4 linked regions of the Caenorhabditis elegans genome follow. The protein of the gene in region 2 interacts with the protein of the main gene of each other region in a biochemical or structural test. Each region holds a gene or a part of one and is shown on either strand. Other genes may lie near its edges.

Region 1 (5,393 bases), on a different chromosome or scaffold from region 2:
TGTCAATGATTAATTCTGGCGCGTCACAATTTTTGATCCTAGCTTCTTTTTGCAAAACTTAAAGCAACAAACCTTATAAGCGAGAAGAAGAACAATGGTTTCAATGCTAAATCTTCCACGGTCCACATAGTCACCAAGGAATAAATAATTCGCAGTCGGCGGCCATCCACCACGATGGAAGAGACGAAGAAGATCCGGGAATTGTCCATGGATGTCACCGCACACCTTTATCGGAGCATTCATTTCAACCATTGATTTCTGTCTTTTAAATACATCCAGTGCCAAATCGAGAAGCTTTAGAACTCGTCCTTCCGTGATCACTTCGGAAAGTAGCTTTTCGTGAGTACTAGCGCTCAGGACATCAATTATTATGTTGTCAACGACGTCGTCTTTCATAATCTAAAACATCAAACCTTTTTAACTTTTGATTCCTGGAAGAGAAAAAGAGAACTCACCTTTCGGAAATCACTTTCAATTGAAAATAATTTTTTTTCCTAGTTTTACTCACATCTACGTGTCTTTTTGTAAACAATTTTTTTTTCACGGCGCCGTGAATAATTTAATAATTTTGTAAACCATATTGATTTATATAAAAACTGAATTAATAAAAAACAAAAAGTACCCGTAACAAGAATAGAATAGAAAATGCGAAAGCTATGAAAATGAGCAAGATATCACAAAAAATCTGCAAAGGGAATTTGTACCGAGATCGAAAAAATTGGAATTTAAAGTTGATGTTCTCTACTGCTGTTCTGATTGTCCGACACGGAAGCTTCATACCGCCAATACTCATTGCGTGCTGGTTCCGGTTCAGTTGCCAGTGGCGTATAGCTTTGTTTTCTGCAAATTAAAGATAATATTTTCCAGACTTCAAAAACAAATTAACTGACCTTCCTAGTCGTAAGCTGTTGTTCAACTGAAGCTGTGAAAGTTCCGTCGGAGAACCACGACGGGTCGTCCACAATCTGAGAGGAAAAATTTTATTTTAGACTACTGTAACAGGAACTGGTTCAATAAGAATGAACTTACCCACAAGCCCACGAAGGAATGATAACTTCCCAAAACGTCTGCCGGTATCTTGAAGACATCACACAATATAAAACAAAATTTACAGAGGAATTGACAAGCGATAGGAGATCAAGAACATCACCAATGTAGAAATAGAGGTATCTGAAATGGAAAATTTAATTTTTCGAAAACTTCTTTAGCGCCCAATTTTAGCTTTAATTGGGCCAACAAAAATTTAGCAACACTTTTGCAAGACTCAGCCTGCACCCAAATTTCCAAAAATTCAAATGACTCAAGAAAAATTGGGTCAAGCTTGGGGCAGTTCGATTTCAGTTTTTCCAGGCCAAATTTCTAGTTAAACATCAAATCTTACCTATGAACGTCTGTAGTAAAAATTGCGCAAAGAATCGAGATGATTCCTTGTGGAAACTCCGTTATTAAAAATACCAATAAAATAACAACAAGCATCAATGTGGTTCTATCTGATGTTCCATTCTTTCTGAAAATTTCCATTTTGTCATAAAAGTTCTTTGAGAGTTGACTATACTTTTTCAATGGTTTTGAATCTGTTGATGCATTTGACGGAACACTCGTTAGTTTCCTCCGATGCTTTTCTGCGTCTCTAATCTTTGATACAAGGCCGAAAGACAAGAAAATTAGCAGAATACATGGAATGATCTGAAAACTGGTAGGACGTTTAATTTGATAACTCGCGTACTCGCTAACCTTGAACAGAATTCCAATCATCCAAATATTCCATTTAAACAACCGGCAATTGTTGATAGTCGCCGCGTGGCTGACCATAAAAGTGTACACCGGTTCAGAGTAGTTCGATGCAAATTTTTGACACGTTTTGCCAGGTCGCCAGTCATTTCCTTCTACACGGGCGATTTCGTGGACCAGCATATTTGGAATACAAAGTACAAATACGACCATATAGATTCCCAGGCACAACTTCCATGCGAACTTTGGTCGTTGCCATTGACTGAAAATTTCCAGATTTTTTAAGGGGGCCAACGTTTCTGGGTATATTGCTTGCAATGTCTTTGTAAAATTTCAATTTTAAATATTTTTGGATACCTACCATTGTTTGAAAAAAATTTTGAAAACTTTCATTACAAAACTTGTTCATCTTAGTGTATAAAAAAATGTTAGTCCCTTAAACTTTGCTCCCAGCATACCTATTCAAAGCGGTAACCCTTAATGTCATCCTCCGAATGAACGCCATCGCCACAGCGAGCCATAAAGAAGTTGTGTGTAGTGTGATGCTCAAAACAACATGCCACAATAGGAATTGTAACCAAGAATGAGTGAACGTTGGAGTGCTGTAATAAAATCTAATAATAAAAATTATTGAGTTTCATTGCAAACGCTTGTTTTCGTGTTTTTCAGTATCATTTTACGAGCGACTTTTCATCTTGAATTCACTTTTGTTATTTATGAATACACGTAGTTTGTAGCTTTGTGACGATTTTCAAAATTTCCTATGATCAATAAAATATGCAGTTGTTTTCATGTTTTGATGCACATAAAACGGATAGGAGGAAATAAATAGTTCCAGGTTCAACTAAAATTCTATGCCTCTTCAATTAAGTGCAGCAAGTGACGAACATGGGCATTCAACTTTTGAAATTCCATTATTACTTTGAGGATGTTTTTTTGTGTGTGTGTGTTGATACTTGAGTGGAAAAATAGAAGAATATAAATATCCTTCAAAATTTTCAATAGAAAGAGCACACTTAGTTTGAATTCTTGTTATTAATGGTTTGAGGTAGAGTTTGGAAAATAAGGATTTTGTTTCAAAGTATTCGAAATATTCAAATATATGCTGCATAATCAAAAAAAAAGGAAACTTAAAAAATCGAGAAAGATTTAAAAATGTCCAATTTTTGAAATTGCGAATTTTCATATTTGAATTTTTCCAAAATGAGAAGCCATGACTATTTTTAAACCAATCAGCGCCTTCGAACTCTACATCCTTTTTATGAAGTGACCGACATTTTCCGGGTTTTGCAATTCACCATAAAATTGGAATAGGAAAAACCAGAAAATAAATATTTTAAAGCTTGTGTTATTTTTCCAAAAATTCCATATTTGTTGATGTTCCTACTCAAAAGCCGCCACGCCGCTCCATTTCCCAAAACAAAAACATTTCCACCCAATAAACACACAAGAATTACCAGGAATTATTTCGTCGTAAGACAAAATGTATAATATAAATGAGATAGGATGCCATTGTTCCGATATCACAGACAGCCACTGCTGTCAGTATGCAGTTGACGGCCGAATTGCGCATGTTGGGTCTCGATAAAACTGCCACATGCACAAAATTGGTGAAGATACCAAAAACGCAGATGAGCACACATACATATCCGTGAATTGGCTGGTACCATCTGACAATTAATCATTGGTTCATTTTTCTTTTTTTGAAAGAAGTGCACAAAAAATAGTTTAACAAACCTTTGAAAATGTGCAAGTTTCCGAAGAAATGCCTGCGTACTGTTACTGTTCGGATCAAACAACTGAGCATCGTGCGGACATTCCATATCTAGCACATCCTTCAAAATGTTGAAAATTTAAGGGGTTTTTAAAGACCATTGAAACAAAGAAACATAAGGAGAAAATCAGAAGAAGCCAAGAGCAACAGGGTGGAATGCGTTCTGTGTTTTTTGAACTTTTAGATGACAGTCGGTTGTTGTGGAAGAAGCTGATCGAGTTTTCGAACAAAATATATAATTTCGTTTTTCAAAAAATTTACAAAATTATAGGTCACTGGCCGGAAGTTATTTTTGTTCCGTGAGTTGTTATTTCTATAGCAGGAAAATACTTTGAAAAATTGTAAAAATCTTTGATTGAAGATTTTTATTTTTTAAAAACTATTTCCTAGAGTAAAAAAAACCAAAAAACCTATTTTTTTGCCGGCCAGGGCGGTAGATTTGTTTGTTTTCGAAAACAAAGTGAGCGAAAAATTGCAAAAAACGCGTAAATTCTTTTGTAAATTTTGCATGTTTAAAAAAAAATGACACTCGAAACCGTAAAAGAGAGCCATATTTATCAAAATATTTATTATTTGGGTTTAAAACATTTTAAAATAATTTTTTTCGATTTCAGCAGATCTTGAAAATGCACAAAATAATTGGTAGGCATGTAGGCATGCCTGCCAACTTATCTTGGCAAGACTAGTCTTTTAAAACATAGTAAGCATATTTTTCAGCAGTTTTATAATTGCGATGATTATAATTGTGAAGCACACTCGTTCGTGAATGTTTAATCTTTCGCTCAACTTTCTGTTTCTTGTGAACATGTAACCTAGATCTAGGGCTTCTAGGTAGGCGCCAAACGACTGCCTACCTGCCGGACTTCAAAGTTAGGTCCACCTGCTTTTCATCAAATTAATCGAAATTCAAATTTATTGCTTTCAAATTTTATGCGCCTGCCTACCATGTTAGTCCTACCTAGAACAGAAACTTATTAGTTAAGTATAAAAGTTTTAAACTTTGGTATTTCATGCCACCATAAAACATATAAAATCAGGGGGCCATCTTGTGAAAATGTTTGTTGTGTGGTGCTGCTTCACACACACCGAAACATTTGAAACAGAATGGATTTCGAGACAGAAATGTGGCATTCAAAGTTAATGAATTCATCTTCCAGAGAAGATGAATCGGAAAATCGAATATTCTCACGACTTATGAATAAGGAAAACGTGGAAAAAAAAAGTTTAGGGGCGCAGGCGCAGTCAAAAGGGGAAGAAAGAAAGCTCAAGTCCCTTGGGAATTGAAGTGATGTGCCTATTGACTATTGACCACTGAACATTTCATCTTTGTTTCAAGAAATCAAAAGAGTGACCTAGCTAATTCTCTAACACCTTAAAATGCAGAGAGCCTAATTGGGGGAGAAATGAGAAAAATGCAGGAAAAAAGCTGAAAAGGGGCAAAAACTGGAGGAAGGAGAGGCGCTACCAATGGTGGATTGCGCACGTAACGTGTTCATTGTCTTTTTTACTCGAAACAAAATGGCGAAGCTTCTCCTCAAATTCAATTTGCAGTTCAAGCAGCTTCTAGTGCTTGAAAAGCAGTGACGAGACTGCATTATTTTCAAAGTGACGAGCAAAAAGGAGGAAAAAAAAAGAAGGACTAGAAGGAGGGGTAGGAATAGTGAGAGGAGAGAATTGGGATGCACAAATCACAACAAAACTTTGGGCAATGAAGAGGAGCCTTTCTTGGTTCCTTCTGGCTCCTCCACAAGTTTCCTAATGCTCAATTCTAGACTAATCTTTCAGATGGCTGTGCAGACTCCCGGATAGAATGATTCAGGCGGCTGCTTGGAATGCCTCCGTTTTTTTTCAGTTTGAGCACATTATTTAGTTACAGTGGCTCTGACTT
Region 2 (3,648 bases):
GTTTCACATTTCAATTTCAGAGAACTTCTTTCTCAACTTGAAATCTACAATCGACAAATTAAATTTTCCCACAACCCTCGAGCGAAGCCAGTTGATGACAAACTTAAAATGGCGTTCCAGGACTGTTTCGACCAAATCATGAGGCTGGTGGATCGCTGATTCTTTTTTCTATTTTATCATGTTTGTTTCTTCCAAAACACCATAATATCTTTTCCGATTCCTTTTTTATTTTGAATCTGCAGCTGAAACATCAAGTAGGTACTACTGAATAAAACGTGTAGTTTGTCTTCCATCTACCATTTCTGATGAGATTATTCGTCTTCTTCAATTTTTTTTTTTCCTGTCATTATTTTTCATTGCACACTGAGTGCAACTAAACGGTGTACCGTCTTCTTTCCTTTTATCATTAATTTTTGACTGTTATGTGAACCTTTCTCACTTTTTCTGTTTTTCTTTTCATGTTCACTCTAGTCCTGCATAATTGTTAATATGCATCATATTATGAAATAAAATGCTTTCATCGATGTTTAACAAGTCGCAAACTTTATTGCTAAATTTTTGACAATACAAAGAATAATGGAATCGAATTGAGTAATGAGAATAAAAGCGAGTTAATCCAAAAGTGACAGAATTTGTATAGACGGAGAAGGTAAAACGTATATAAAAGGACAGGATGGACAGAAAGAAGGAAGGTGTGCTGATTGTCGTCTGAAGTCTGATTTGATGTGCGCAATTTGTTTGAGGTGTATTGAACCATGTCTGACCGTCAAAATTGTGCAAAGCCGGTTATCCGAACCTGACTGAGCTGGCCCAAGATGCCCTCTTACCGAACCTCACTTGATTCGCCCATCTCTTTTCCATGCTCTTGAGAGAAGGGTCCGACTGCTGCAAGAAATTGAATTGAACTTGTATTCCTTTCTACTTTTTGAATTCAAAATTCTATTTTTGAAACATGAAAAGGACTAAATGCAATCATATTTCACATTCTCCGAGTTTTCTTTCCGTCCCCAAATGCTTATTTATGTACCTCAAAGGAATTCTAGAAAAAATGATGCATAGACGTGAAGTGGATCAGAAAAAAAACTCATTATTTTTTGCATCAAGGATGAGACTACGGTGATACCTAATCCCATAACGAGATGAACAAACACACAAAATTAGTTGGGTTTTTGTTCCGCTCTGGCCCATGGCTCACCTCAAGATAGTCGTACAATGCCGAATCGTCGTTGAACGCCTCCATATTCAACGGTGAGTTGTCCTGAACGGCTTGCATTTTCAAATCACCATTTTGTGACTGAATTGGTTGCCCTGAAATACCTATTCATTGACTATTCTTCTGCTAGAACAGTCTAGACTCTAACACGTTTACAATGTTCTGTTGAGAGATATAGGCTTAGATTTGTGATATTAATAAATGAAAACAAAATTGAAATTGAACAAGACAAAGATAATTGTTAATAAAAAATAAACTCACCGACGACTACGGCAATTAACAGGAAAAGCATGGAAAACAGCGTTAGCTGGAAGGACATGTCGGTGCAATGAATGAAGCAGTGGTGGGCGTGTCCTCCTTGAGGCACGTTGAGAGCACTCGCGGGTTTTGTGGACGTGGCTTGTCAAAGACTAAGAAGCGATATCTACAAGGAATTCAAGAGTTTTCTATAGTAAGAATGAGAGACGACGCGACAAACCGGTGAAATGTGGGTGGAGCACTATGGAATATAGTGCTAATGAACCAAAAGTGAGAAGGATGGGAATGGGAGGAATGTCACCGCTACTTTTTAAGATGTGCAGCCTAGAAGTTTTTCCAGTATTTCGAGCCCGGAAAATAAGAAAGTGATGATATTTGAAGATATCCGGAAGCACGAAAGTTGAGGTGTGGGTTGCTTTCTCAAACCTACTTTATAATTCAAGGTAGACTTTTTTTTAGTTTCTCTTAGTTTAGATTTGAGATCTGAAATGTGGTTTTCCGGATATAAAAGAACAAGAAAAGAAAAATTGAAGTTTAATGCGTTTGTTTCAGTTCTCGACTTAGTTAAAAATAAAGAACGTTTGAGAAAACTTGTTATGATAGTTGTTCCAATTTTGCTGGCCAATTTCAAAAAATTGAATTTTGGAGATGTTATAAATTACTTTCCATTATTTCATGCGGTACAATGTTCTTGTTCTTAGCAATTCTACATACGGTCTAGACGCTTAATAACGGATTTGGTGATTTTTGGCATTTTTCTCAGTTAGTCACTGAACAGGTACCATGATAATTCTATATTATTTTGTGTTCAGTCTATGTTACCGCAGGGAATTCAAAGAAATGAAGTAGTTGTTACAAAACGGTTTGATAAGGTGTAGTTAATAAAACTTGAAAATTGTTAATACTTCTGAAAGCGAAAATTAAAAACAGTGTAACACTATTTTTAATTTAAATAATCCGCTTAGATATCAATAGAGACGCTGTAAAAATAAAACTTCATTTGTGAGCGGAAGTCTCATCAACGCTTGCGCTTGCAGGAAAGGAGCAAAAAATTAAACAGATTTCATTTAAATTTTAATTTGTTGCTGTTTTCAACCCATATCTCGCAGAGAGCTTCATGAATTTTAATGCTAAATTCTGTGTTGTGCCACAGAAATTTTTTATTCTAAAAAGTTAAAACACACCATACATGTGTTTCTTTTCCAGAATAGCATTTTCGAAAACGATTAGAATTTCAAATTTTAAATTCTCACTTCCTGAGGCGGGCTACCATGGAGCCAAAAAATCACTTCTATGGCGACGCTATGATTTTTCTATTGACGTCATTGAAAGCATTTTCATCAGAAGAGAAAGTTAAATTGTACTCAATCATAGAGAACTCGGCTGGGAAAACTCTACTACCATTGTAGTCATAATCTTCTGTCAGAACTTGTTATACATGACTAATGAATCATAAATCTCGTTTCAAATAATCAATCTCAGCTCTTGTTTTCCGATCTATCAAACTAAAACAATGAAAATAGACAATACACTGTATAAGTGTCATAAATCAAGATGCACATCCAAGTTATTTATGAACAAGGTTGAGTTAAATAAGAACAGTTTTTCGGAGGAATTGTTGGTCTGTATTTAAAAACGTTTACATTTACCTCGACTTTATCTGTTTTTATGATGATAATAATTTGTACATCACACTGTTTGTTGATGAGTTACATATAAAATATATCCAGTGCTTACGTGGAATATTATTATATTTTAAGTTGAAACATCTTTCATTTATTCTATCAGTTAACAGCAAACGATCAGGGATAAATAAGTGATAACATGTGGTTTCCGTTTTTTTCCCACGATGACATCAGTTTCAATTCCGATTTTAGTTTTAGGTTCTAAAGTTCTGACTTCGGGATTTGATAATCAAATTTGATGACGCAAAAGCATTTGAAAAACACAAAATTTGAGAAAAAACAAATTTCTTGATTTCAGTACAATTTGATTACAGTGAATGTGTTTTTTTTCCAAAACCACGTTTTGACTAGAGCCAACTTTTATAAACAATTTTCACTTGAAATAATGTATGGAGCAAATTCAAAAAATACATAACATAGTTTAAAGCATACAAGGTAACAATTATTTCGAGTTTATGAAAATACACGTCATTGATGGAATTAACCAAGCAA
Region 3 (7,283 bases), 1.9 Mb from region 2:
TAAATATACGAGAAATTTACTTTATTGGACCATTGCTGTATTTCACAATGAAATCTTGAGCATTATCATCCAAAAACGTGAATTCAAAAATTGCGGAGAAAATATAAAACTATATAAGTCTGAAATAATCAAACTTGGACTCAATTAACAATTTTCCGAGCAATTTTTAGTGACACTTAAGTAAAACTAGCCAAGCTGAAATGAATTGGTCAAATGTTAGCAACCCAAGAAAATGAATACAAAAGAGATCGCAAGAATCGGGATGATTTTGGAGGGAGATGACCAGTACTACTTTTAGACTAGACAATTTGTAACTAGTAACTTTTGATTATGGCAGGCAGGTGAAAAATAAATATTAGAAACGAAACAAAAAAAAACAAAACAGAAATGAAGCGTTCAATTCATAATGATATTGCAGTTCTTATCAAATAATACATGGTATCGAAAAAATGCTCAAATTAACAAAATCCATGAAGATGTGCAGTAAAGATATATACAGAAACATGATAAAGGTTTGACGTGTTTTCCGTTATGAAGGTGCGCTTTGAAGCGAAAGTCTGTTTTGAGCACTTGTGTAGATTACTGTATCTTTTCGAGCAGGAGCTGCTTGATGTGGTGCACCACTTTGACTCCGTTTACTCCATCGGCGAGAACTCTGAAACACAAATTTTTGAAACTTTATGGAAACTTTATTTTACATACTGTATGTTTGAGTATTATAGTTAATTACTAAAGAAAAAATGGATGTTTCAAATATGAACGTCAAACTTTCGGTAAATTAACAAATTACCAAAACAGTAACGAAACAGCTATATTGTTTAAATATTATTGATGGAAAGATAATTAAACTGTGAAACTTGTTTAAAAAATTTTGTCCGCTTTCCACAGTTATCATATTAAAAAAATTTGCTTCAAATTTATAAACTACTCTATTTAAAACGCATTAACCCCAGTTTCCAATCAGAACAAATTATGTTAGAACCAATATTATCAAGAAATCAAAAAATAAATCAAATAAAAACTCTAAGAGGTTGGAGATTAAGTATATTGGGGAAAATGGGTAAGGTACATGCAAATCAGTCCGGGGAGAAAATGAAACTGCACACGAACTAAATGCGTTTCTAGACAATATTATTTCTATTTTCCACACAAAACTTACCACCGGGTAGGTTATGAAATTCGAAATCGTCATTCGCTGTAATGGTTCTTTTGAAAACAATTTACAAAGCAGTATACCAAAAAGCAAAAGCATAGTAAAGAAATATGAAATTGTTTTCAATTAATCGAGAATGTTCATTAAAGAAGAATAATTAATAATGAATGTACCGATTTACTTTTTTTAAAGCTTACCCTCGCACTTAACAGAGCAGTACTGGCGTCCAAACTAGTTTTCCTCGTCGTACCATCTCTACCATCCCAATCACTGACCATGCTCCTGAATGACAATTTTTAGAAAATTTGAACAATGCAGTGATAGAATTACTGAGGTGGGTACCTTCCAACTTTGAGCCACTCCATCCATCGACTTTGTCGCCCGCAAAGCATGAGGACACACATTTGACGAAATCGGGCTCCGAATAACGAGTAGATCACGATGTTGGAAGCGCTAAAGGTTATTTGTTCATACATACAATTCAAAAACCTTGCCACACTAGGGCTTAAGTTCATTTATTTTTCATTCAATAACTCTATTTGAAAAACGATTCAGCATCATGCACTTCCAATTTTATAACCTCTGTGATATAAAATTGGAAGGTGGTGTTTGGTATAAAATGTTTACTTGTTCATTTTCAAAAGTTTGCGTTGATGTTGAGGATTTTAAACTTTTAGATTGAATGATTTATTTCACCGAACTTGATTCAGACTTCTTTGAAAATTTTTTTGAAATTACTTAGGGTCATTTTCAGTGTTTCAAAGCATCTTAAAATCATGGCAATATTTGGAAAACATTTCGAAAAGACAGATTGAACCCAAAAAGTAACCCGGAAAAGTTTCTTTTTCCATACTAATGTGCTCTCTGCCACTTTCATGTAGAAACCGATTCTAAAGTTTTTCGAGCACACAGCTTCTAACACGTTATAATTACTAAAACTTCTTACCTGTTTAAACAAATTAGCAAATTTCCAATGGGACTCCAAAATCCTAAGCTCACTTCGAACACCGTCTCAGCCAAGTTGTTCACTGCTGCTACTACGTTGAAGATCAAGAAAGTGAGCACCATAGCGATGGCCATAAGAGTGCATCTGAGACTGTTTCTGAACTTGGGAGACAAACTGTTTTCTACTGTTTTTGAATTTTGTCGAATCGAAAAAAAAGAGGGAGAAAAGTTCTGAGCGATAGTTGTTTTCAGATAATAAAAAATAACAAAAACATGCAAAAATCAAAAAAGCTGGTTCGGTTCTTGTAATAAACGTTAGCAGTCCATGCTTGAAATAAGAAAAATAAATAATCATTAAAAAATGTAAATCGATGTATTTGAAAATTTTTAAGAAACTAGAGAACCGAACTTAACATCAAAAAACTGGTGAAACCAAAGTTTAAAAAATAATTAAAAATAAAAATGATAAAACCACACCTCCGATCTTTTTCTTCTTGATTATTTTTTCCTCCTTGCATAGACCTCCGAATCTTATACGCCTTGTGTACAGCCTTTACCACAAACACATTCAGTATAATCATTACTGTCCATGGAATCAATAACAGCGCGATGAGGTACCCAAATGTTACGTAGTACTCTTTGTAGTACTTATTATCCCGCAGAAATGAGGTTCTCAGTCGACCACAGTCATCGTTGGTCAACTCGAAGAACATTGGTGCCTGAAGATGACTTGTATCACGGATAGTCGCCTACTAAACTTATTACGATGTTCCTCAGTTTGCAAAGTAGTACATTAATTTAGAACATTTAGAATAACAATCCATATAGTCTTTTGAATCAGAAAATAACACAAAAAAAGAAACTACCAATGTTGTATTCACAACCTAAAAGTTTTGCGTGGTTCAAGTTGGCCGTAAAATTAAAACAAGATGAAAAAAGGTAGGGATTTTGTATAATTGTACCTAACTCATTTTTTTTAAATTAAATTTTGAGCTAAATATCAGTGCTGTGCGGCTTGCGCCGAGAGCCGACTTTTTTCAAGGGCCGCACAGCACTGCTAAATATTGAAAAATCTCTAAGTTATTCATTGAAACTAGGGGAACCTAAAAAGCGTATTGTAAGTTTTCTAGTGTTTTTGAGTGTACTTTTTTTCAATTTGTAAAATTACAATCTGATGGAAAATAATTTATAAAAAACAGCGATTTTCGAGTTAATATTAAATATTATAAATACTGGAATTTCAAGCTCATCTGCTTTTCCTCCACAGAATTTTTAATTTTGTGATAATGTAAATTACGAATTAATTTTTTTTCAACTTTCATGTTTTCCCCGGTGTCTTAGAAATCAAAGTCAGTAGCTCTTGTGTTTTGATATACACACGCAAATGTATATTTTAAAAATTCTAAAATAAAATTGAACATTTTCACACAGTGATCAACTTATTATCAATGAACAGTGTGCTGACATGTTTAATATTCTGAATGCTTGAATGATTTTAAAACTGGGGTCACAAACTCTAATAGCATTGATGTTTGTTTTCACAAGAAATTTTATTTTAAAAAACCTTTAAACTACAATTATCGTAGCAACAGACTTCCGTAATATGCAAATTTGATATATTATAAAAACATTACTTTAGACCATAATAGTCAGGATACGAAACTTTAAAACGTTGTGTGTATTTCGAAATACAAAATAAAAAATTGACAATTCTTGTACTTACTTTGAACAATATGCTAAAAACCGTAATCGCAATAAGTATTGTTGTTGCTCGGCGCGGTGTGCACCAAATTTTGCTATGAAGCGGATAGTTAACAGCAAGAAATCGATCCACCGTCACTGCAACACATGTCCAGACACTACCACATTGTGCGATATTTGATATGGGTAACGTCCAAGGAGTTGATCTCCAGAAGAAATGACAAACCGCGGTGTCCCCGTGACCCTGAATAGTTTATTTGAATTATTGCTAACATAGTTGTTTTTAGTGGTGTTCTGAAACATTCATATTTCTGGAAACATAAATTATACGCAGTTTCTAAGACATTAGAAAATTATTTCAGACCTTGATGAAACTCGAAGTTTTGAGAAATATTAAATCCCTCTTCAATATCATAAATAACTTTTTTCATTTCTCTTTCCGTGCTATGAGCTTATCGATGAATAAATTGATGGACATTTCTTCATCTCATTACAAATTCCACTGAATATCAACCAGTTATCTACGCTCACCTGCAAAACGCAACCTTGGAGAGGTGAAAAGATCAGAGCACTGAATGAAAGCAGGATAAGATCGAAAACCGATAATCCGGCAAGATATACGTTGAGTGATGATCTGAAGTTAAAAATATTTTGTATTTCTATGTATCCTTATTTGCTCTTTTTTCTTGAAATGAGTATTTGAACAGACTACCAAAGAAAATTAAAACTAAATAAATGGGGAACAATTTGATGTCATTAATTTTTCAAAAAGATTAATACAATCAAAAAAAATCATAAAAATGTCGTCAGTTGTACATGAATTAAAATGTTTATTAAGGGCCAAGAAAATTTGAAATCACTGTTTCAATTGAATTGTGCAGCAAGAACAAATTGAAAGATTTATTTGAATAGTTTTTGATCATTTTTTGAAATGAATAGCAGCCTAAAGCTATAGCTCGTTTTTGACTAATGTGAGGTAAATTTTTATAAATATATAGGCTAATAAATATTTATTTTTAGAACTAAATAGCGTATTTTTATCAGGGAAAAACATTTGGTGTTTCCCTAACTTTATTTTTGATTTACTTGTTGGACAAGACTCCTTCTTTATTCGACAAAAAAGGCAGAAACATAATTTGTGAAAAAAAAAACTGCTATCGTTTTTTTTTCATATAAAAATTATTATTTTCCTGTGAACCATTTGGGGTACAGATATACACGCATCACATATTCATTTTTTTAGAAATAATGATTAAACATATTACCTATCCACGTTACTGTGTTTGTTAGAAGATATAGACGCAGAAAAATGAAAAAGTTTCCCTCGTACACGTTTCCGTAAGCCACGTGACTTCGTCGTCCTTTCTCAAAACGTTCGAAGTCTTTTCGTTGCGGGGAACAGATTTTCTTTGCGTCTCTTATATTTTCTAACTTAAAAAGTGAAGTGGATAGGTAATTCGAATTCAGTCCTTTCTAGATATACTCTCACAAGTACTCTTCAATAAAACGAACCTCATTTGTTTCCTAGTGAACACCACAATGCACATTACCGCAGCGCCGGCTCCCAGCACGCAAATTGTTGGAATGGCAAGCAGGTAAATATATGTGCTAATGTAATCGACCTCCGCAAAATTAGTTGGATAGCTGCATGTTCCTTTTGTACTTCCAGAAAAACCTGGCTGATCCGTAGTGACCAGTGTAGAATTATTAAGAAGCGAAATAACTGTCGAGTTCATAGCCAGAGGCCGAAGTGGTGTGGCACACACTGGAACACGATAAAAATTGGTTTTAGAAAGAAAAAAGGCTCTAACTAAGAGATAATTGAGTTTTGGTTGAAACGAAACAAAAAAGCGAAGACGGAGCAACCAAAGTTCAAAAGTTGAAAAAAAGAAGCAGTGACGTAGGGGTCTATTCAAATTTAACGATTAACATACATCCTTGAAAATGGTATTAGGTGACTAAATTCTTCAATATAAAACTTGTAAAACAAAACGAATATATATGAAACTTCGGAGAAAGTAGGAAGTAAAATTTATGGTATACATACTAACACAAAAATGAACTTGTAATTAGTTTATTCGAGCGAATAATTAAATGAGAACTTTTTTTCAAAATCAGAGTTTTGGTTTGTTAAGAAAAAGAAAGTAAACTAAGATAAGAGTGAAAATTTAAAACAAAAACACATAGTTGACAATTTCAGTAAGATACGTTTTTGTTACTCGTACTTTCAAAAAGTCTAGGAGAAAATACACTTATTTTCGAAAATTTTGAACAAAACCATCCACTAATTTCTTAAGTTTTTCTTTCTTTTCAAAACAAAAAAACAGTTGGATCTTCAAGACTAACTAGTCTTACTTTATTGATGCCTTACAAAATGGCTTCAAAAAAGTGAGTTCTGGTAAATAGTAGGGCATCAATGAAAAGACGAAGCAGAATTGAAATATACTACTAGTCATTTTTATGATGTTCGACTATATATAGTATCAAGAATTTGTGAATAACTACTGAGAAAAAGGGGACTGCATGGTCAGTAATGAATATGTTAGCGGAGAAGTGGAAGCCAAAAAGTCGTGAACGGCTGGTATCATCACGTAGCTTTCACAAAAACAAAGGAGGTTCTTTGAATAAGCAATGATGATTGAAGAAATGTTATTTGATATTTGAAACCTGTTCCAATTACGGGGAATAATAATTTACGAAAACTCACTTTAAATATGATTTGTCAAAATACAAGATTAGTTAAAGAAGTATGGTTTTACTGAGATATTGTACCCAAACCAAAATCAAAGAGCGATAAAGACTTGTTTCTGTTTAGAAAAAGAGTTTGAAAATTGGATTCTTTGTATTTTTAACTTTTATATGTAAAATAATACAATGATAAAATTTTTTCAAACGATTTTGATCAACTTATTCATTCTAATTGTAGATATACTCACTCACCAAAATGAAAAAAAGTTTAAAAAAAAAGAAAATTAACATGATGTCATTGTAATTTCCGGATAAAATATATACTTTAAATTGAAGACTTTGAAGAAAAAATTCATATTTTTTGGCAAGCTCTAGTTGACCATTCACATATTTCATAATTCATAGCTCAAGGACATATTTTTACACTCGTTGTTCAAACGAGCATTTTCTTGGAAAAAACATTCGATGTATTTTTGGAAGATGTATTCACTCTAAGAAAAACAAAAATATCGAAGTTCTAAAAGTGAGCTCTTGATATTCTTGCGTATTCATTTTAGCGGAAAAGTGAGCTTGACTCAGATAGTCATTATGTGCAAAGTTGTGTACGGAAAAATAGTCTTAAAAACTATAACGATAATTATCGAATTAAATTGAAAATGAAGGAAATGGATATGAAAAATACATTCGTGAACTTATAGGAACTGCAAAAAAAGCAAGAGGTGGATTATTCATTTCATACTTATTTAAAACGAATAAATACTAAAAGTGGAAGTAGAAAAAAGTTCACATATCGAAT
Region 4 (5,122 bases), on a different chromosome or scaffold from region 2:
TATTTTAAGCGACTGGGATTCTTTTTTCTGAATACTTTTGTGAAGCATATCCTAAGTCTTTGCCACAATGGGGCCAAAGTGAAATATGATCATACAGGACTATTATTGAAAAAGTTACAGCAGAGATGTTACGTATGTATACATAGATAGTATTTTAATTTTGTTCATGCTCAAAGTTTATGAGGAACATAAATCTGTCCTCTTAACTTTGTATTATGAAAATAATTTCGAAAAGTGGAGTATTTGTAACAGTATTTTTGCAGGTAAACTAGTCATACTGCCATAACTTCACATCAAGCTCCAGAACTTAAACGAAATGTTGTTAAAGTCTATGAAATCGTAGAAATGATACTAATAACTATCCATCGTGAAAAGTGCGAACTTAAAAAAAGCAACTGGAAGAAATGCGTTGAGCATTCTCTTGCTCCTCACCTGAATCTCAATGGTTAGAGAAGTCCGACCTAATGCACAAAATGATATATTGTCGACAATTGAACGGCTCCCTGCCATGAGAGCCCACACACCAATCTCACTTTAAAATCTTTTTTATCATTATTATATCTTCATTGAGGTCATAAAATGGAAACAAAAGAAAAGTTGAGAATAATTGAACTGGAGGAAACGTTCGAGATCAATTTTTAAAAACCCGTAAAATAAAGAGGAAAATTCTTTTACAAATATAAACAAGTGAATTAGATTTTAGGCGAGAGTGGCAAATCGAAGAAGTTTTCGTTTCGAGCTTGAACGGTTTTGATCATCTGAAAAAATTGTATTATTACTGAACACGTTTGTCAAAAAGTAGAAATTAATTTTAAAACAAATTAGTGCTTAGGATAAATGAGTTTTTTCTCAAAAGCATTTTAAGGGCAACAACTTTTTGTATAACGCGCAGGGTTTTTTGATTTGTGGAAATACTTATTATTTTCACTTGACCCAAAGTTTTCAAATAATGCTCCACAAATTTTGGTATCGCATGACGGGCTGATCAGCCAAATGTCAATAAGAAATAGTCAAGAAAAATATTTTTCGTGTTTTATGTTTAGACCTTATACCTCTAGAAAGATTACTGGCTGCACTTGGCTCATCGCTTTGAATTTCTCGAATCTCTTCCTCTTCTTCTTCTTCGTCTTCTTGTTCTTTTCGAATCGTTCTTGCTTTTCGAAGATCAATTTCTGATGTTGTGAGAAATAATTGAGCTGATTTGTTCATTTGTTTCTTATTTTTTACAAAATGTGATTTTTCTTTTCTATGACGACGGGCTGGAAATTTTTAAATTGAATGATAACACATAGTACAGAACTAATCACCTTCAACTTCATCTGGAAGAATCGAAAGCTCCAATGCTTTCTGAGCGGCCATCACTGTTGTTAAGGCAACTCCATTTGTCTGAAAATCAAATTTTTGTTTTAGAATTTCAGATATTTTCATACTCTTTTTCTCTTCTCTAATCCCAGCCAGTGTTTGATAATTGATCTGTACTTTGATGAAAAAATCAGATATACAAACATAGAACTGGATGAATTCAAACTGATTAGAAGATTTGATATTTCAACAGAAAGGTCAAAGTTCCATTCATTAAAAATGCTCCATTCACCATCATAATCTTGTGATTGTTCTTCGATCTGGAAATTATTAGGAAGTTTATTTGTAAAATTATTCCGATTTTTCAGAGATTAATTTTGAGTGTACGTTAAAGTATAAAAATGGGTTACCTCTGGAACAAATGAAGTTTGATTCAGGGATTGAGAATCCGATGCATGTTTTTTTACATGTTGCACGTTTTCGTAGATGTTGTTGCAGAATGCAAGACAATTACAGCAGAGAAATATGGCAACAATTGCAAGAAGCATAAGAGTTACAGAACGATCACGAAGAGAATTTCCATTTGTTTTTAGAAGTGATGGCGTTTTCAACGGGCTGAAATTATAATGTTATGTAATTCAAAATGAAGATTCGTCTTTAATATGATTTTATATTGTTAAACTAATTTTCTTGAAAATTAACAAAAATGGCTGTCTCTCAGTATTTTTAGACATTTTAAAGTTCCAATTTAAATGAAAAAAGTTTCACTTTTCACTTACTTGAAATTGAGTCGCCCGAACCTTCCAAATAACTCACTGTATTTGGCACCTTTGAGCATCCGAAAATTATTCATAATTCGTCTGAAAATGATAAAAAGATAATATCGTATACACAAATCCTGACAAAAGCTAAGCAAGCACGCCATTCCAAAAGGGTAATTCAGGAAAACACGCGGGGGAAAATATGCAGGCCAAAATAAATGACTAACATAACCAAACTTACTTGTCGAGAGATTTCCAGGTGAATCTACTGGAACAGTTTAATTTTTTAGTGTAAAATTTTAACATGTTTTTTTAAAGTTCCGTCCCTCGGTTTATTTCCTTTATTTTTTAGAAATAAATTCAAAAGCCTTATGGGATTTCTTTTATTGAATCTCTAGAAGAATTCAGAAAAAAAACTTCAAGTTGCCATTAAAATAAAAACTTTGATCCAGAAAAAAAACTTACGATTGTGTGCTTTTCTTCATTGATTGACCATTTCTCATTCTCGTTGATTCTTTCAATGCAACCACAATTCGACAATTAACTATTATAAGTGTAATGAATGGAATGATGAACATTATCAATGTATACATTATACATTTTGTTATCAAATTGTATGATGATTTTTGTCTCAAACTTGTTAATATAATTGAACTGATAGGTGCATTGAAGTTGATAGAATAGCAAGGACGAATGTCCAATTCAAGCCACGTATGAAGATTTATTACTATACTGAAGATTATTGAGCCTGAAAAAATGAACAAATTAAAAAAAAAATTATGCACTTACCAATAATTGCCCATTTAACAGGTTTTCCAGAAACCCATCGTTTTGCTCGAAAAGGATGACAAACTCCTAAATATCTGTGCACAGAAACCAGAACTGTGAGATAAACACCACAAGTTTGTGTACTCAATCCAACTGGATACGCAAACCACAGAAATACAGGATAATAATCATGTAACAAATAGCTATTGCTCATTGATGCAATAACTGGGAATATGAGCATAAAGAAATTACACACCAAAAGTACTAGATCGGAAATTGAGAGCACCTGAATACAGTATATCAGAAATTTTTTTAGATGGAAATTAAAAGTTTCTCACCAATAAAAAATGATTTACAAGAGAACATCGCATCTCTGGATCACAAAATACTATCACATTGATCACGTTTGTGATAAAACCAAATATAGCAATTGGCATGCCTGGAATTAATTAATTTTTTCATAAAAATAAACAGAATTTTATAATACCTCCGAATAATCGAATGGTTGCCTGAATATCATTGAATACTGATGGCTCACATTCTGGTAATTCTTGAATGTCTGGAACGTAGATGACAGTAGATGTCATCAGTCTGAAAGCACGAACTTGAAATCCGTCATTTTTTAAGATAGAGAAAGAGGTGGAGAGTTTATGCAGGTAAAAAACATTGGAAATACAAACAGAGAAAGAAACAAAAAATGAATCAAAACGATTAATAAGAAAAGAAAATGTTGAGAGTGACCGGTGCATATCTCGATAAAATCAAAATTTAACTATTAATATCCAAGGTCTTCAATTGAAATTGAAAGATTAAGAAGTGTAGGAGGAAACGGAGGTGAATATTCAAGTATGAAGTTAACTAAATATAGAATCTAAAAGATATTGGTCTACATTATTAATCCTTTTTATTTTATATTTTGTGAATGTGAGGAAAGGCTTTGTGAGATTTAGTTCATTATTCAATTAATGCCATGTAGTCTTTGCTTCCGATATTCTTTTTTTTTCAGTATATTCTTGATATATTTGTTAAAAGTGCAAATTAGTATATGATATCATTCGTTTTTAACACAATGTATAAAACTGATAATTTCCGAACATTTTGAACAATGCTAATAATATCAGATTTGAATTCAATGAAGTTCACACATAAACCATATAAAATAATAACTCATCAATCGGAATGATTGAATGAACCAAACTTAATAAAAGGAACGCTCGATCGCAATGTTTTAAAATCGATCAAATTATTCAGTTCTATAAAATGATGTGAAAAAATTTATTTCGAAAATTTATTCAAAAAAGTAAACGTGCATTTTTCGATAATAAGAACTTGACTTCCGCTGTTTAATTTGCATTTCAATAACAGCTACGGTGAACCTTATTTACAATAAGATAGAATTCAAATCAAAACTTTTACCGTTCTGGGGGAGAAATTGAAGAAAAAAATGGAATTACTTTGAAAAAATTACATATATTCTACAAAGGCACGACTTACGCTCGCCCGGCTCTTCTTGATTTACCCAAACAAAGTACCCAAAAAAAGAAAAAGGAAAAAAAAACAAAACTGTACAGAAACATATAAAAAACATGACAAAACATTTCCACAAAGCTATTGTTAGGGCGCCATGAGGGCGATCTAACAATAAAAAACGGGGGAGAAGCTTACCCGTCACCCAACGATTCGGCGGAATGGATATTGGGAGAAGTGAAGTCGCTAACGTAAGTTTCGTGAGTCTTACTAGTAATAAAAATAAATCATTCGGACGTAAAACTGTAAGTATACACAGTCGCGATGGATATTCAACGACAAATGAATAAAACTTGAAATATGAATCTCAAAAATCTAAGCGAACAAAGAAAGCTTGGCGGAGCCGTGTTCAGTCAATTGGAATTTTCGAATAATCTATTTATAGCCGATAGAAATTCAAGCACGTCTTCAACAAAAAACTATCAAGCAGAATGAACGTAGGCGACGATAGCTCAATTTATTGCTGTTCATTTGCTGAGACTCACGGAATCCCCTTCCAAGACGAAGAAAGATTTAACAAGAGCTTCTACTTCTATCGATAATCTGTTCGATTATATATTTTATGAGAAGTGATATAATTGCATGAATTTCAAGTTACAATTCTCACAGTCAATTAATCGTATTTTTGCCAATAAACATTATGGAATTTAAATGGAATTTTAAGACACTCTATTGGGGGTTTTTTTTTTAATTTTAAATAAAAAGTTCCGGCTTGAGAACAATAGATTTTGAACTTTTTTTTGATGAAAATTCAAAATCCGTCA

The links.
Region 1: the proteins of flp-19 (region 2) and dmsr-7 interact in a test that uses a peptide from one of them, tested with the Caenorhabditis elegans proteins (one large-scale study listed by BioGRID).
Region 3: the proteins of flp-19 (region 2) and frpr-8 interact in a test that uses a peptide from one of them, tested with the Caenorhabditis elegans proteins (one large-scale study listed by BioGRID).
Region 4: the proteins of flp-19 (region 2) and frpr-9 interact in a test that uses a peptide from one of them, tested with the Caenorhabditis elegans proteins (one large-scale study listed by BioGRID).

What each region holds. Positions count from the first base shown.
Region 1 is NC_003283.11:5,403,531-5,408,923, reverse strand, and holds dmsr-7 (G-protein coupled receptors family 1 profile domain-containing protein), read right to left. Parts: upstream 3,572-5,393; 5' UTR 3,555-3,571; coding exon 3,469-3,554; intron 3,402-3,468; coding exon 3,189-3,401; intron 2,334-3,188; coding exon 2,190-2,333; intron 1,994-2,189; coding exon 1,735-1,993; intron 1,687-1,734; coding exon 1,556-1,686; intron 1,508-1,555; coding exon 1,382-1,507; intron 1,171-1,381; coding exon 1,030-1,170; intron 966-1,029; coding exon 891-965; intron 841-890; coding exon 726-840; 3' UTR 538-725; downstream 1-537. Other genes in the region: C25A6.1 (Serine/threonine-protein phosphatase), read right to left, coding at 73-396.
Region 2 is NC_003284.9:10,602,710-10,606,357, reverse strand, and holds flp-19 (WANQVRF-amide), read right to left. Parts: upstream 1,673-3,648; 5' UTR 1,533-1,672; coding exon 1,475-1,532; intron 1,309-1,474; coding exon 1,196-1,308; intron 886-1,195; coding exon 787-885; 3' UTR 527-786; downstream 1-526. Other genes in the region: Tyrosine-protein kinase abl-1, read left to right, coding at 21-159. UniProt on the Caenorhabditis elegans protein: FMRFamides and FMRFamide-like peptides are neuropeptides. WANQVRF-amide inhibits the activity of dissected pharyngeal myogenic muscle system.
Region 3 is NC_003284.9:8,696,069-8,703,351, reverse strand, and holds frpr-8 (G-protein coupled receptors family 1 profile domain-containing protein), read right to left. Parts: upstream 5,536-7,283; coding exon 5,312-5,535; intron 4,434-5,311; coding exon 4,331-4,433; intron 4,044-4,330; coding exon 3,822-4,043; intron 2,818-3,821; coding exon 2,576-2,817; intron 2,244-2,575; coding exon 2,100-2,243; intron 1,607-2,099; coding exon 1,484-1,606; intron 1,436-1,483; coding exon 1,351-1,435; intron 1,196-1,350; coding exon 1,160-1,195; intron 656-1,159; coding exon 530-655; downstream 1-529.
Region 4 is NC_003283.11:10,990,395-10,995,516, reverse strand, and holds frpr-9 (G-protein coupled receptors family 1 profile domain-containing protein), read right to left. Parts: upstream 3,420-5,122; 5' UTR 3,419-3,419; coding exon 3,319-3,418; intron 3,271-3,318; coding exon 3,170-3,270; intron 3,118-3,169; coding exon 2,853-3,117; intron 2,812-2,852; coding exon 2,529-2,811; intron 2,332-2,528; coding exon 2,305-2,331; intron 2,163-2,304; coding exon 2,082-2,162; intron 1,918-2,081; coding exon 1,713-1,917; intron 1,623-1,712; coding exon 1,431-1,622; intron 1,387-1,430; coding exon 1,308-1,386; intron 1,260-1,307; coding exon 1,053-1,259; intron 759-1,052; coding exon 700-758; 3' UTR 546-699; downstream 1-545.